Arabidopsis thaliana: one gene and its partner. The protein of the gene in region 1 interacts with the protein of each later gene in a pairwise test. Each region holds a gene or a part of one and is shown on either strand. Other genes may lie near its edges.

Region 1 (8,865 bases):
TACAATACAAATTATTTGTCGAGGTTTTTTGTTTTGTTTGATAACATCTATTGTCCAAGTCAAATATTATTTTGGTTGAAGATTAGAGAAAATGTTGTAGAGAAACGACTCTAGGTCTTTATAAAAAAACAACAACTCTTGGTTCATCAGGTTTAGCTTGAAAAAGATGGCAAATATAAAATGTTATAAAACTCCGATGAATGCAAATTAATGGCACACATTAGTCGCAATAGAGGCTGTATCTAACTTTCAACATGGATTCAAAGTTGTAAACTTTTCTAACTACCTTTCGGGCCACACAAAAAACTCTAATTAAATATACTTGATTATATATTGTCGGAATGTATTTGCATGCCTTACTTCATTACAATTTCAAAATAACAAAACTAGCGTTTTAAAAAAAAAACTAGAAACAGGAATATAATGTGATGTACTATTTTTTTTTTTTCCAGTTTTGAACGTAACTAATTATGCAAACGCTAATGCTAGCCGTGACGTACTTGTTTGTAATTTCAGTTTAAACATCGAAAAGCTAAGAGCCTGAGACTATATCTATCGATGATTAGTAACCAAAAAGGGTAGCTTATCGATGCGTTGGTGAAAAGGACAATATAATGCAAACGTGAAGGACTAAGGACAGTACCATAGCCAATTAAGGCTTCCTCAATTAATATTCCTGCCATTGCAATTATGTATGCACATGCACGACCTAAAACCCATCCCATTCATATTCTATTTTTCTATTTATTGTTTTGCTGATTGGGGTATTCATGTTAAAATCCAAAATTGTTTTCAAAATTAATAGTCGCCGTATGAATTTTGCTTTAGACCAAAAGACGATGACCAATAAACTATAGATGATCAATTTATTTAGCTAAAGAAAAGGAGTTTAATTGTTGTGTTTAGTGGTTCATACTTTAATACTTTATACATTGTGCATATATATTACATGAATGTCATGTTAGCTGGTCTGCAACGGCGCATCGCTATGTCTTTTGGTTTGTGCAAACGAGCTGTGACTAAACTTTATTATTGGGCTTTATTGTAGCCCAATATGAATTACGCGGCAAAAGATGGATTGTGAACTTGTCAAGATATAACTACGAAAATTTAACCTAAATAATTTGACAAATACCAAAGTCGACGATGGTGAAAAGAGGTCGGAGCGGCGGCGTTTCAAATCGGAGATTTCAAAACCTAGTTCTCCAGTCATCTGAGAAGGGATCAACGGCAGAGGAAATAGTCAATGAGCTCCGTTCAAAGGACCGTGAATGGGCTCGATTGAGTCGTCATGTTCTGCTACTTAACGTCAACCAAACCCTTCAATCCAGAAATGTAAGCGACAAAGACGAAGAAGAAAGCAATGCAAGATCAAAATCACGGAAGAGAGCCGCCACAGCTTCACCTTCAGGATCGTCGTGGTCTGATGCCGTGGGGACGGAAATGTATTAGATGATAGTGGTAAGTCAACTCCACAGTTTGATTTGATAAATGAAAACCTTAGGGCTTCGTATGATACAAGGAAACATATTAGGGTTTCAGATGTGGAATTAGAGATAGGGAATAAGAATAAAAAAGGTAAGAAATTTAAGGATCTTGGTGGGTTAAAGGAGATATTGCATGACCTAACGAATTGAGTAAAGAATCCTCTGCTTTTTCCTGAAATGCATGAACGTCTTCAAGAGAAGCCAATTTCTGGGATTTTACTTCATGGTCCACCTGGTTGTGGCAAGTCTACATTGGCTCGTGCATGCCATTGCTAATGAAACTGGTGTTCCTTTTCATATGATCTCTGCTTCTGAGGTTGTTTCTGGTGTTTCGGGTGAATCTGAAGAGAATATAAGAAAACTCTTCTCTAAAGCGTATAGAACTGCTCCTTCGATTATCTTTATCGATGAGATTGAGGCGATTGCGTCAAAGAGGGATAATCATCAGCAAAAGGGTATGGAGACTCGTATTGTTACACAGTTGATGAATTGTATGGACCAAGAGTATATGCTTCAAAAGATGAGAGAGTCTGGTTCTGAAACTAGCGGCCATGTTATCGTTATTTCAGCTACCAATAGACCTGAAGCTCTTGATCCAGCTTTGTGAAGGTCACTACGATTCGACAAGGATTTTTGTCTCGGAATGCCAGATGAGAAGGCAAGAGAAGAGATTCTTACTTTGATACTACGGAACCGTCCTCTTGACCCAAGTTTTGATATTGCAAGGATTGTTCGTAAGACTTCAGGATTTGTTGGAGCGGATCTAGCACTTTTGGTTAAGGAAGCTGCAAATGTGGCAATGGAGAGATTAGTGAAATCAAGAGGATCAGAACTTGGAACTGATATTGATTCTTTGTTGAGTATGCAGCCATGTCCATTTCCACCACAAGTGATAGAGAAACTTTTCTACACTATCTCGGATTTTGAGGAAGCATTGAAAAAGTTTAAACCTTCGTTAACAAGAGAAGGATTCTCTACTACTCCTAGTGTAACATGGGAAGATATTGGCGGTCTTGATCATATAAGAAAGGAGTTTTATAGCGATATAATCAAACCGTTGAAATATCCAGAAGAGTGCGAGGGATTCAAGTTCTGTTCAGGGAGGGATTTTTTGCTATATGGACCACCTGGTTGTGGTAAAACATTAGTTGCCAAAGCCGTGGCTAACAAAGCAGAAACCAACTTTATCCGTGTCGAGGGACCGGAGCTTTGAGCAAATACGTTGGAGATAGCGAGAAAGCGATTAGGGAGCTATTTAACCTTGCAAGGATGTGTTCACCGTGCATAATCTTCTTCGACGAGGTTGATGCATTGACAACAAAACGTGGGTCAGGAGAAGGTGCTTGGGTTGTTGAAAGACCATTGACTCAGTTGCTCAATGAAATGAGCGGTGGAAAAGAACGAGATGGAGTGTTTGTGATTGGTGCAACGAATAGACCGGAGATGATGGATCCTGCGATTACAAGACCAGGGAGGTTTGGGAAACATATCTATATACCTCTTCCAAACTCTGTTCAACGAGGTTTGATTCTGAAATCTCTTGCGAGGAAGATTCCTTTAGACACAAGTGTTGATTTGGATGCTATAGCTAGGCGTTGTGAGAATTTTAGTGGAGCTGATCTTGAAGCTTTGGTTATAGAAGCTGGTTTGGCGGCTCGAGACGATGAGACAGGCTCGTACCCTCGTAGGACAAAGATGGTTCATTTTGAGGAAGCGTCGAGTCGTATGCAAAGCGGCAGGTGAAGAGAAAAGTCAAGAGATTGGCCAAGTTTTTCCAGTTTTCAACATTTTTTCAAAACTTCATGCTTATTTTTTTTGGATTATTGGTCAAGTAAGCTAGTTTGGTTTTACCATGTTATATCTGCTTGGTCAAATAAGATGTTATGTCATAAGTTCATAGCATAACATTTTAACTCCGCCCATACTGATTGCAAATTTTCCGATGAACTATATAGTTCAAGATTATTCAATGTGTATCATTATTGGAATAGAAATATAGCAATCTTTCTGTTCTTTCTAAAATGATGTTACTTTCTCAATTTAAGACAACTGATTTACATAAACCCATCTAAACCACAACAAAAGAAGACAGAAAATAATATGTCAAACACAGTTCTTCAAAGAATCTCCAGCACCTTGAAAGAAGAAGGAAGAAAGCACAAAGTCCGCGATGAAGATTCCGACAAGAGACATGACGACAGCAGAAGTTGTAGATTCTCCAACACCTTTAGCACCTCCAGTAGTGGTTACTCCCCAAGAACAACTAATTACCGATATTATAGCTCCAAAGACTTGAGATTTAATCATGGCACTCACAATGTCCCATGGTCTAAGTGCTCGGTGAGCCGAGTCCATGATTATGTTAATGCTGATCCCGTAAACTGCATCAGAGAGCAGAGCGCTTGAAGCCATACCAACAGTGAAACACATGAGTGTCAGAAACGGTAGAGCCAAACACGAGGCGATGACTCTTGGAGTGATTAGATAATCAATTGGGTCAGCTCCTAAAACACGGAGTGTATCAGTTTGCTCTGAGACTTGCATTGTCCCTAGTTCAGCTGCAAATGCACTTCCCATTCGTCCAGCAACAACAATCGATGTGATGACTGGACTTAGCTCTCTAGAGAAGGCTAAAGCCAAGACACCTCCAATGGATCTGTTTAGACCTAGTCTAGTGAATTCTCTAACGAACTGGATTGTGAAAGCCATACCAACAAATGTAGAAGTCAGAAGACAAACTCCTAGAGATTTCGGTCCGGTTCTCTCCAGCTGTTGAAGAGTGTTTCTCCAGTGAATCTTACCCTTTAAAATCCGGAGAACGACTTGTCCTGCTATAATAGGAACTGATAAACCTCTCCATATGTACTTAGAAGGTGACCATTTGCTGAACGGAAGCTCGGCTTCTTGACTGGGTGCGTTGTTTTCAGTAGAGGTTTCTTCTTCCAACATAGACATGGATGGGTGACCATCATTAGCATTCAAATTCACATATAATCTTCTTTGCCGTATCGGACTTGAAATCCCATAAGATTGAGTCTTTCCAATGAAACCAACTTGACAAAGCTTTGGGGGCTTAATACCAATCGAAGCATCAAACCGTGGAAAGACTCTGCAAAATTAATATTCAAGAATCCAAAATAACATATTCTGACAATGAAGCAAATGAGAAAGCTTATAAACTTATGGCAACACAAAATACCTATGAGGGAAACAAAACGATTGATGGATACAACAAGTCTGCATCATTGTGGTTGCCTTCTTCTTTACGACCTCACTGATTTAGTGCCTCTCAATTTGTAGCAATAAGCACGATTTCAACAGCTGAATCTGTAATAAACCCAGAATCAAATTGATTTACAATCAAATAGAATTAGGACACAACAGATTTTGCATAAGAGATCCAAATCGAGACAAAAAGTTTCCGGTGACCTGATCAATTAATCAATCTCTGACTCTGAGGCAGCCAAATTCGAATCCCAGTATAAGATATGTACGGACCAATCTAGGTGAAATCTCTACTATATAGAAGGGGAACAAATAATTAGGTCTATCAATCTTCTTACTGAAACAAAAACTTGAAAACTTACATTTAGAAACGAAACTAAGCTCGGAAGATCGAAGAAGCTTGCTTGAGAGGGTTCATCGAGAGAGAAAGTGGCACAGTGCCAACAACAACAACACACACAACTAACAGTTGCGAAGAAGATGTGTGGGTTTAACTCCCAACAAAACAAACAAAAAAAAAACCAATGGCAAAACATAAATTGGTCCGTGGGCCGTAAAGCCCAATATACTTTTACAAGTAAAGCGTGGGCTCTATGCCATTCACGGCAGGTCCACTTGTACTTTACACATAGACTGATACAGAAAAGTATAAATAAGAAAATAACAATGAGTGTTTTTCTCTATTGATCCAAAATGACAAAATATATGATCTAAACATTTTATGTTATTCTGTATATGTAAAGTGTTAATTATTTAATTGGTTGTATAAATCTACAAAGCTATTATATGAAATGTTTATACCAAGACAATCAATCAAATAAAGGCCTACATTTCATGTCCAGATTTGTACTAATATCCCCTTCATTGCTTACTAATATATAGTAAATTTAACTAAATGCTAACTTAACTATAATATAACCAATATCGAAAGGAGAAAGATGTGAAAAGAGGAATGGTGGTGGTCACGTGACAGTGATACTTGGTAACCTTTACGGAGACAACAACGTTATCTTTTTCTTCAGCCGGTCCGTTCTTTAAAAGCACACTCTCTGTATAATATATGCCTCTCTACGTTTTATATACTCACGTTTACCCTACTCTACACTACAAACCAAAAGCACTACTTCTCTCCTACACAAAACGTGATTCTACCAAATTGAATGCAAGAGTTTAGTAGAGGGTCTCGATTCTTAAAAAAAACAAACTGTCCTAGATGATATTTTGGAAATATAAGTTTAAGGAAACGCTGAAATTGGTTGCTTTAATTCGACTACTATATCTTTCGCATCTTAGAATTATATTAGAAGATATTCAATATTTGTATCTTTTACATTTTATATTTTTATGAGTATTCTATTTTAATTAGAGGTATTAATTTGTTAAGGTTTTAGAGTTTTATGTTACAAATTTACAATATTCAAGTGTTACGTTTTTAGCAAAACTTGTCTTCATTTCCGGTAGATTGATTAAAAAAGCACAACGAATCCCCAAAAAAATGGTAATTCAGGTATTTTAAATTAATCGAGTTCCTTGAACCGCTATGAACACTCAATTCAGTACCTTCCAAAGGAAATGTGTCTCAAGATCTCATGTTCAAGCTTCGCTGGTAGACAATGTACTATTTAGTTCATATCCTCCGACTCGAGAAAACTTTGACCCTTGGTTATTGTAAAAAGTGTTCTATACGTATACTTATATTCGTAATTTCGTAGATAGAGAGAAAGCATAATGTGATGCATGTGCATGGGATGGGCAGATGGGGCCCGCGGGCTTTACAAGGCCCATAAAGCTAAAAGAAGAGGAGAGGACCACGTGGCAGGGAGCTAGCTAGTACTACAAGTGGAGTGGATACTAAGAAGTAAGAAAGTAGGAATGAGTTGAATCTCGTGATCGCACTGTTTCTACTATTGGCAATGCAGTGTTGCTTTCGTCTAGGGTTTCAGAGCTATAGCCCCCTCTTCCTTAATTATTTCTTTTTTTCACTTTACTTTTCTCACCAATCCATGTCCAACTACACTTAAAATTGCATTACCGCAACATCTTATATGTGTCTATATTCGAAATATCTTCTGTGTATAGAATTGTATAAGCTAGCTACGGAATTACATTTTCGAACGACATATATTTGGATGTTCTAGTTTTTGTCATTTTTTTATTAGTGGTCTATCAAGCCGATGATTCTTGAAGTCTCCATTCCCGGTACATTATTGAATGTGAAGTTTAACCTCTCTTAAGATTGATCTCTCGCATAGGATCGAATCCCAAACATTAGCATGCATGCTTTCAAGTTTAACTAACGGTGTTTGAATAAAACAAAAACTATATCTTAACATTCCCTTAGATAACTTTCACATATTTTATGAGGGAGGATCGTTCTCAATCATACGCTAATGGTTAACAGTTTTGGTTACATGAGTGTTCACTAATGAGAGTTGTATTATATGTGTTGGTAATGTTATTTTTGTCTCTGTTGGTGATTGTTTCTTATCCCTTTTGTAACGATTTTAACAAAATTGATCATTAATTAAGACCGAAAAGGAAGGTGTTTAACATATTTTCTCATATTATATATTTTATTATTTGATAACACAACTATTAAAGGGTAGTTGAGATATTGCGTGTATTTACATAGTGTATACGAATAAAGTTTCTATATCTTAACTTTACCACGAAGCTTTGAGTCACTTCATTCCTTTATATATTCAACAAGACAAAAAGCCATTCTAGGCGGAAAGAGCGTAATTATCACTTTTCTTTAAGCTAACAAACTGATGGTTAGGAATGAGGAACCTTAGCGTCAATCTTATGTTAATTTTAACAAATCTACATCCAATTATTGTCGTTTAACATCATACGGGAGCCAATATGGCTCCACCGGAACTGAAATCATTCTCAAAATTTTTTATATATATATTTTTTTAGTTCGGAAAATTTTTTGGTTGAATCAGACAACTAATTTCTAGAGTCTATATATATCGCCGGTAAAGAAAATTTCGTTGTGGTCACTTAAAAAATTGTATCCAACGAAAAGTAATTTATAGTTTAGACTAAAATGACAACAACTATTTGGACAACCATTACTTGATCCAAATTTAAACTCATATTTGTTTTTTTTACCAACAAGAAACTCTAATTTTGGCTATGTTTTTTTGCTGAATACAAACGCTCTCGTTTCAAGAATATTTTACATCCTCTTAGACAAGGCGATAGAGAATCGAGATGTGTACTTTCGTATTCATCTAAAGTTTTGGTTGAGCAATACTAAGCCAGGAGCAATATCTCAGTAAATTGTTTTTGCCATCAGTATTAGCCAATTAACAAGAAAAATCGTACTCCTAGTTGGCAATACTAGTAAATTGTTTTTGCCATCAGGAGTAGATACACTAGCTAACAAGGATAATGATTGACTTCTAGTTTTATCCTGTAAGAGAGATGAATAGGTAGAGAGAGAAAGTGAAGGGTAAGCACAAGGCTCGAGGGTGAAAGACATAATAATTGGGACTTCTCTTCGTCCATAAATTTCCCCAAACAAGTCATGCACTCTCTACTTACCTTTCTGTGTGTATTGAGTCTATTGCCAAATCATAGTAAGATCATGTTCTAATAATCATTTGTTATTTTAACCACTAAACACTACTGTACTACCTTGTATGCTAGTATCATTTGCCATAATTATTTCTGAGCACGCAATATTTTTTCTCAACTCCAATATAATAGTATTTCCTCTGTTTCATTTTAATAAACGTTTAAGGTTTTTGTTAAAAATCACAAAAATCTTATTTAGTTTTTTTTTTTTACATAAAAATATCATTAACTACAAATGATTCAACTAATAGATAATATATTATAAAATATAATTGGTAAAAAATTATTAAATATATTTAGTTTTTGCATATGAAGTTGAAAGCATCAAGCAAATAAAATCTCTAAACCATCACTTAACTACTGCGGAAATATTATATGTAAATTGTTAGTTTGGATCACCAAAGTTCGCTGTTCAAAAAAATTGCAAGTTAGTAGTATAAGTTTGGTTACCTCGTTGTTACAAATTCATATGTCTAATACCACCTATAATGTTGATCCCTATGGTTCGAAAAACATTGGGAACTTTCATCATTTGATCATGTAGTACAATCTCATTGCCTAGGATTCT
Region 2 (7,980 bases), on another chromosome or scaffold:
AGCCTTCTCCTTCTCATCCTCTCCATGTTCGTCTCACTCCCCAAGCTCTCACTCTCCACAAAGAAGAAGAGACGATTCATCTCTCGCCGCCTCAACGCAACGTCACTGTTCAACGGTTGACTAAATTCTTGATGCTAACGGGAGCTGGAAGTCTTCCTCTCTATGTCCTCGATCGTTTCAGGTTCGATTTGGGTCTCCCTCGCGATTACATTACTTCGTTGATCGGCGATTACCCGGAATACTTTGAAGTAACTGAGATCAAAGATCGGTTAACGGGTGAAAAGACGCTTGCTTTGACGATATCTTCGCGGCGGAACAACCTTCCTGTGTCGGAAATGGAGAGAAGAGAAGCCACCATTGATGGGTCTCGTGTGAAAAAAGGGTTGCGCATAAGGTATTCGATGAATTTCCCCAAAGGGTACGAATTGCATAAAAGGGTGAAGAATTGGGTGGAGCAATGGCAAAATCTCCCATACATTTCGCCTTATGAAAATGCTTTTCACTTGGGGTCGTACAGTGATCAGGCTGAGAAGTGGGCTGTCGCAGTACTTCATGAGCTTTTGTTCCTTTTAGTATCTAAGAAGACTGAGACAGACAATGTGATTTGCTTAGGGGAGTATTTAGGGTTCGGGATGAGGTTCAAGAAGGCTTTGGTGCACCACCCGGGTATATTTTACATGTCGCACAAGATTCGGACCCAGACTGTTGTTCTAAGGGAAGCTTACCACAAAGTTTTCTTGCTGGAGAAGCATCCATTGATGGGGATCAGACATCAGTACATTTATCTTATGAGCAAATCAGGGAGAGGGAAGAAACGAGACTATGTTCATGGAGTTGAGAGAAGCAACCGAAAAAAGAGAGTAATCAAAGCTTGTGAAGATGGTGAAATTTATGCACATAACAGCAGTCTTTGATCAGAGAGGATAGTAGTAGTGTCGAATTAATGAGTTGCTATGACTAGGGCGAGTAAGGACAGCTTAATCGAGTATGGAATTGGTTGCTGATATGGTATCATTGTGCAAGATTTTGTGTTTGAGTCCTTGACCGACTCTGCCAGCAATTGGAGTAAACAGAACTCAAGATCTCGCATATTACCTAGCTAGCAACGGTGTTTAGCTAGTGGCTACAGAGTCTCTGCATTTTGCAAGTAAGTAAAACGGATGCAGAGAAAGGAATTTATAAACCTCCACAGGTTTTCTTATTTCCTTTGGGAAGACGCATGTATGTCTCAAATAAACATGGCAAGAGATGAAAGTCAGAGTAAACAACATGACAAGTGTGAGTCTTACAAGAACTGTGTTGTCCACATGCTCTTTTGAAAGGTCCCAACCTGGATGGTCCTCTCAGTTCAGCCACTTCCTGATCAAACAATTAACCAAGTTTTTTTTTTTATAGCTTTCAGTTTATTGATATCGTGTGTTAACTCAATTAGACAAGGCATCTTAAGCATTTCACACCTCTAAGTGTATTATTAGTTTATGACCAAGCAGAACGTATAATAAGATTGCTTGCGTAAATAATTGTCCACTAAACAAAGAACAAAATTAAAATCATTATTAGAATTGGAAGTAGATGAGACAAACACGAAATGATCACATGCACAAGCGAATTAGTCAACCAAACATTAAATAATCAAATTGCTTATATCTATTTGGAAATAAATAACAAATCTAACGACGACCCCCGTCTCCGGTGACCGGATATCCAATACCGTGCCTTCTCGCCGGAAAAACCAAGAACAACATGCCACAGATAACCCCAACACCCATTGGAACAATGTCCAAAACCTTCTTGGTTTCTTGCTCTGGCGCCGGATAAAAACAACTCACGGCGTTCTTGTCCCTCAGAGCCACCGCACCAAACACAAGAACCGACAAAACGGCGTGGATCCAGTCAATAATTCTTATCCGGTATTTACTAAGATTGGGTAAACCCAAACCGTCAGGGTCAGGGTAGTCGAAAACCCACATGCCCTTACGAGTAGCAAAACCGTAATAAACGTTACCGTCTTCAGCCTTGACGCTGTCAGTGAAGGAGCTAAGGAAGCAGGAGATGGAGAGAAGCGTGAGGAGCACTATGGTTAAAACCTGGGTCGGGTAATCGCATGAACCATTGGATGTAAAGACGGGTATGAGGAGCGTGAAAGCTAAGAGCGTTCCGGTTGGAAGGAGATTTGCCAGGTTTGCAGCTGAGGTTAGCGTCTGTGACATGACTGCATGTTGAGATGTCTGCCTCCTTAGCTGTGGAACAGACTCCGATTGCTCTTGCGAACTAGTTGGGTTTCTCTGCGTTAGGGAAGATGGTGAAGACATATTCTTTCGTTTTTCTTATTTGTTTCGAGAATTAATGGATGATTATGATCATAATATATACCAAGAAGAACGTGCGATTAAGTGTAGAAGATGGTTGTTGACGTGATCAATGTTTTGACTTTTGAGAAGTCAATGGGTCTCTTTTGATTCCTTCTTGAGAGTTGAGACTTTCAAAGTTGATTATATATTACTCTCGTTCTTACTCGTCTCCAACTTTAAACAAAAAACTTTAAAATCGATTTGCATGTTACGTTAACTTTAAAGAGATTCGCACTCTTTGGTGGGAACTAAAAAAGTAAACCTAATTCCACTAAAAAAGGTCTCCCGTTGGATCCATCTCGCAGCAATTCATCCCCTTCATCATCAAATCCGTGTGTTTCCTGCATAAACGCCTCACCCAAGGATCCCCTAGGGATTTGTTCCGCGCGTATGATTTCTGTTTGGAATGCTGCGAATTGGTCTCCTACGATCCTCTAGCCGTCCAGCTTCAGAGAGTCGGGCTGATTCACTGTTACCAGGCCTGGGGTTGGTTCACTCACGCCTACAACGATGGTTTTAGAGTCCTTGACCACCTTAAAGGACCCGCCTACGACGATGGTTTTAGAGTTAGAGAACCCGAGTCCAAAGGTGTACCGTTTTTACCAGATCCCGAATTTGGAGGAGCTAAACTGGCAAGAGTCCAACTCATGGTTGTGGCGTCCATCGTCAGGTCTGTAGCAATGTCGCGGGATATGAACGATCTCCAATACTTGAGGGGCATTTCTCTTCTACAAGGGCTAAAACCCTGGCTAAGGTAAATAAAACCGTGAGACTTATGCTTCCCTTGCTGTACAAGTCAACAAGTTTCACTTCTTCTTCTTCTTTTTTTTCTAGGTATTTGGATGCCAATGAACACCATAAGTTTCTCAAGCTGGTCTTGTCAGATATGGGAGAGTGTGCTCTCTCGGTAATTAGAGAAGCAGAGCGTTTCGATGAGGCTTTTGTGCATTCTTTTTGCATCTCTACACTAGAGGAATATTCTGTATCCCCGTTGCCAAAATGTCATTTTTATAAGGTGACTTTCCCAAGTTTACATGTCCTTCTGTGGCTCTGTCTCTGTCTCTCTCTCTCGTACGCCTTGACTGTCTTGTTTTGTATCCAGTTCTCCCGCCAGGTACTTTCTTTACTGTTTCCGTCCAAGGAGGCAAAAACATCACTAAATCTTAAAATTATGATGTCTGTGTTGAAATTTGTGGCAGGTGAATTCCAGGTATGTGCAAAAGTCTCGTGTCCAGATTAGTCAGTCATTAGATGTTTCTAGGGCATTATTATGTTTCTTGTGGCACTCACTGCTCTGCTATGTTGAAACTCTCATAGCTTATTCTCTCTCAGGTTGAACCTAAAGCAAATTGGTCGAAGCTTCTTGACTTAGTCCAAAGTTTTTTTAGGTGAATGTCATGCGCATCGTTCTCTTTAGATAAAACATGAGCTCCAGAAAATTAAACTTGGTATTATTATTCATGGAGTATTAACACATTTTGAATGTAGATGCTATCATCTTAACAAAAAAAACTCAATTTACTTCATCTTGAATGTTATCCCAAGAGTTTTTTTTATTGCTTTTAGGTTCACTTACTGTTATACATTCATGCTTACCCAATATACCCTAACAAACTCTCGTGCTAAAACCAATATAAAAAAAAATCAGAGAAGTATGCCAGCTCATAAGCCTTCATAACCATCTGTCGCCTTTATTTTTATATCACCGTAGTGTTCTCCTAGTTCCGGAGGATCTTGGCGCATCTTAAGTGCATAGCCTTTCTTTTTGGCATCATCGTTAGACTGTGATAAGACTGGAAAAAATTGTCTCTCCTCCCTCCACTCCTCGTCTTACACCAGAACCAGCAGTCTTCAAGCAGAGTTCGATATGCAGCTGTTTGAGTGATGCCCATTTTGATTCCTCATCATTATTTGGGGAGGAGCTTTCGAGATCAGTTTTCTTTAATTCAACTTCTTAACATAAACTTCTCTTTTATCCAAAAAATACACAAACTTCTCTTTGTTGAAAAATAACACATAGTTCATTTGGTACTAGGTAACGACTCGTGCATAATATATTCAAAATTAATTGAAAATTTTGTTCTGTTAAGATTAATATATTTAATGTATGCATTATAGTCTATAGATGGATAGTTAGTGAAACAATATAAAATTTTTGAGTTTGAATATATTTTGAAGACTTGCCAAATCTTAGTATTGGAATTTAACTATAACTGTTATTATTACCAAAAAAAAGTATTTTGTTGTTTTAAATGTATGAATTCATATAATGGTTTGTTTATTTAGATAAATATTCTAATTAGATAACATAGAGATTTCATAATCTCTTTTATAATTAGTTGTAAATGCTAAAAATAATTTATTTAATCATCTTTCTATTAATTTATGTATAAATGGAATGCCAAGTAAAAAGTGATACAATTGTTAGTCATATAATTTAGTGATTATTTCAATTATAACAAAACGATGCATTTTAATATAATATATATTCAAAATATCTATATTTGGTTATAAAAATTCGAAATATTTAAATATGGTAACTTTACATATTAAAAAACTTTTGTGTGTTTGACAATTGAGTTAAGAAAATAAACAGAAATAATATTTAAATACTTGGAAATAAAAGTGTTTGGTAATAGGGATTAGAATTTTTTTTTGTTTTAAATGGTTGAGGAAAATTGTGAGCTTGGCCACATAAGGACTAGAAAAACTTTGTTCCATTATAATCTCCTCAAGGGATAAATTTATAAACAGAAAAACTTGATTAAATCTACCTGCTGATCTGATTTATATATTTACTAAGTTCTTCTTGTTGTATTTTTCTTTTGCTGTACCAAAACTTGTCAATGTCACTATTCAAACCCATAAATTTGATATCCACGATCCCAACTTCTCGTGTATATAAGTTTTACAGTGGCATATTAGACATCCACACCATTAACATTACAAACGACAAAACCTTAAGAATGTACACGTACAGACATAAACATACCACTCATCCTATTTTCTCTCATTGTCTCTGAGCCACACCACCACCATTTTCTCTTAACCTTCATAGGCTTCCTCGATCACTTCATCTCCCAATATTGGAGTAAATAGAGAATACTTCACCTTCAATGAGATTTTGCCTTTCTCCACCAATAATCTTGCACCCGATACAACCCAATACCCGGGTGATTCTTGCGGCCCTCTTGTCATCTCACTTGTATCCACAAATTTCAAAAGTTTTGGAGCTTGCGTGGGTACTGGTGGTCCACCAGGATATATAGCCGAATTTATATTCACGTCTGCAGGTCGTGGTGGTGGTTTTTGTGCTGCAGTGAAGTGATGGCTTATTAGCGTTGAGATGAGTCCTGATTTTGGAGCAAAGCCTACCGCTTCATCCCATTCAGAATTCTTTACCAGTGTTGCTCCCACAACTCTAGAGAAACAAAGGCGCAAGAAGAGCACGTTCTTGAATCCGTGGCTCTCTACATGAAGCTGCGCACCTGTTACTACAGAAAGATCATCATCTGATTCGACAGGCTCTGTGCAGACGTGAGAGTAGTTCTTCCAGTTTACTTTCTCATAGTATCGACGGTCATGAGACTCTTGCCGGATACTTCTATTTAGATCGTCTTCGAGCTGATATATCTTGGGAAGAGAGGAAAGGTGTTGCAAATGAATTGCCAAACGGTTGCTTCTTCTACCCTCTAGGTAGAGCCGCATGCCAGTGATTGGCCTCTTACCAACATCAACCTGAAACCAGACAAACGAGAACGAGCATCTCAGGACTGGAGGACTTTAAACAAAATCTAACCACACAGGGTTAATGAGATCAGACTTGACTGACCAAATAAACCTGCATCAGCAAGCTACATATTCAGGGATGAAACAAACCCATACCGGAGTGGTATTCACGTATAGCTTAGGTCCAAAGAAACTGAATTGCAGAGACGCACAACTTTGTTGCTTTCGTTGCGGACCAAGAGGAAGTTCACTAAAAACGGGTGCCCACTGCCTTGGTAGCTGAAACTCGAGAAACTGATGCAGCTCTTCAATTGGTGGCTTATCTACAAATCTCAGTTAATGTTGGATTGTTAACCCAAGGCTTTTCGTTTATAGTATGTTCATCTTACGCGGATCATATAACAGATGGCAGAAAAAATCATCTTCGACTTATAAAAATACTATAATTTTCAAGTTATGCTCCTATGTATCAACCTAACTACCCAGCTGGACTTGGAGATTACGCAAGATTTGGGATTATACTATTCTAATTTTACCTATATCAAACTTCTAATCTAAAGGTAAAAGAAACCACTAGTATGAAGAATAACTCCAGAAAGAAATGCACAAAGCGCAAATGATTTATAGGCTTACATCTTAGATACAGATTTATGGCATGGCTTAAGAATCCACTTCCTGGAACTCCATTAAGCAAAGACGTAATTGGAATAAAAGACATGGAGATAACATCAGGCTCCATCTGAACTGTTTGCAGCCATTCATTATGCATTAGATTTCTGTTATCGTTTCCACCTCGCCTCTTGCACATGAAGACATAGTCCTACAAAAAACATGTAACTCCTGAGAAAAGAAGCTAACACACAGATTACATGTCTTTATGATAAGCTATGGTACCAATAGAAATTACCTCCTTATTTGCATAAGAGCCCAAAGAACTGGTATCTGCAAATCTCAGGCGTTGCTCCTTTGTTTCCACCTGAAACCAGGAATAAAAGACAGGAATTACAGACTTAAGAGTCGAAACACTAGATTGTTAGTAGAAATTCTTCTATATGTCAAATAGCCAAAACATTTATGACATGCACAAACAAGAAAGTTTTGATGATGGGAAACAAAAATAATAATAACTATTTCACAGACCTTACTACTTGCTTGTACTCTTTCTGAACCCGTATTATGCACTACGCTAGCTTCCACGAACCTCTTATCTGCCACCTCTTTTAACCTTTTCTGCAGATCCTCAGGCTGAAGTTTTGAGGAGTGTTGTTGTTTTGCATAAATCACATCTTTTCCTCCCATCTTAACACTAACAATTATATGCGTCCCATAAATATCTATAAACCTGGTAAAGAAACATTTGACTAAGTGTTAGTCATAAACCCTCCAATTACTGAAGAAATATTACTAATGAAACAACGCCTACAACAAGTAAGACGTAATTCTTAAGTCATACAAAAACAATTTCATCCAGTGAAAAGACATTGGGCCAAGGAAACGACCATCGAACAATTTCACAGAAAAATATGCAGATGTAAGTAACTTTCCATAGACTTTACATACATACAATCCTATTATGAAGACAGAACATCACCTTGCCAATGCAGCAGGGTCCCATGTTGATGGAACAGCCTGCTTAACATGCTCACGGAGTAACACTTGAGATTTGTCCAAAGCCACCGAGTATAATGAGATGAAAACCCCATCAAAAGCAAGGTTTTTGGTGTAGGCTGCGTCTTTCTGCCAACAGCTCGAGAATTCAAACATGGCATTGAAGAGACCTGACGGGATTTTCCCAGCCAAAGATAGTTCCTGGTTGAACTGCTCTGCCATCTAGCAAACCATAAGAAAAATGTTAACAAAATGTTAATAACTAAGGCATCCAAAATGCTATGAAGGAAAT

What was found.
Region 2: the proteins of ABCI14 (region 1) and AT4G24310 interact in a protein complementation assay, tested with the Arabidopsis thaliana proteins (one large-scale study listed by BioGRID).

Annotation. Positions count from the first base shown.
Region 1 is NC_003070.9:6,842,680-6,851,544, reverse strand, and holds ABCI14 (trigalactosyldiacylglycerol 1), read right to left. Parts: upstream 5,208-8,865; 5' UTR 5,075-5,207; exon of another isoform or gene 5,003-5,074; 5' UTR 4,917-5,002; exon of another isoform or gene 4,815-4,916; 5' UTR 4,734-4,814; coding exon 4,687-4,733; intron 4,597-4,686; coding exon 3,591-4,596; 3' UTR 3,423-3,590; downstream 1-3,422. UniProt on the Arabidopsis thaliana protein: Required during embryogenesis. Permease involved in lipid transfer from the endoplasmic reticulum (ER) to plastids, and necessary for thylakoids formation.
Region 2 is NC_003075.7:12,595,232-12,603,211, reverse strand, and holds AT4G24310 (transmembrane protein, putative (DUF679)), read right to left. Parts: upstream 2,410-7,980; 5' UTR 2,313-2,409; coding exon 1,671-2,312; 3' UTR 1,486-1,670; downstream 1-1,485. Other genes in the region: AT4G24320 (Ubiquitin carboxyl-terminal hydrolase family protein), read left to right, coding at 1-914; AT4G24300 (Peptidase C50, separase), read left to right, coding at 2,999-3,105, 3,186-3,366, 3,454-3,561, 4,191-4,232; AT4G24290 (MAC/Perforin domain-containing protein), read right to left, coding at 5,397-6,089, 6,237-6,403, 6,714-6,900, 6,988-7,056, 7,221-7,422, 7,672-7,910. UniProt on the Arabidopsis thaliana protein: Involved in membrane remodeling.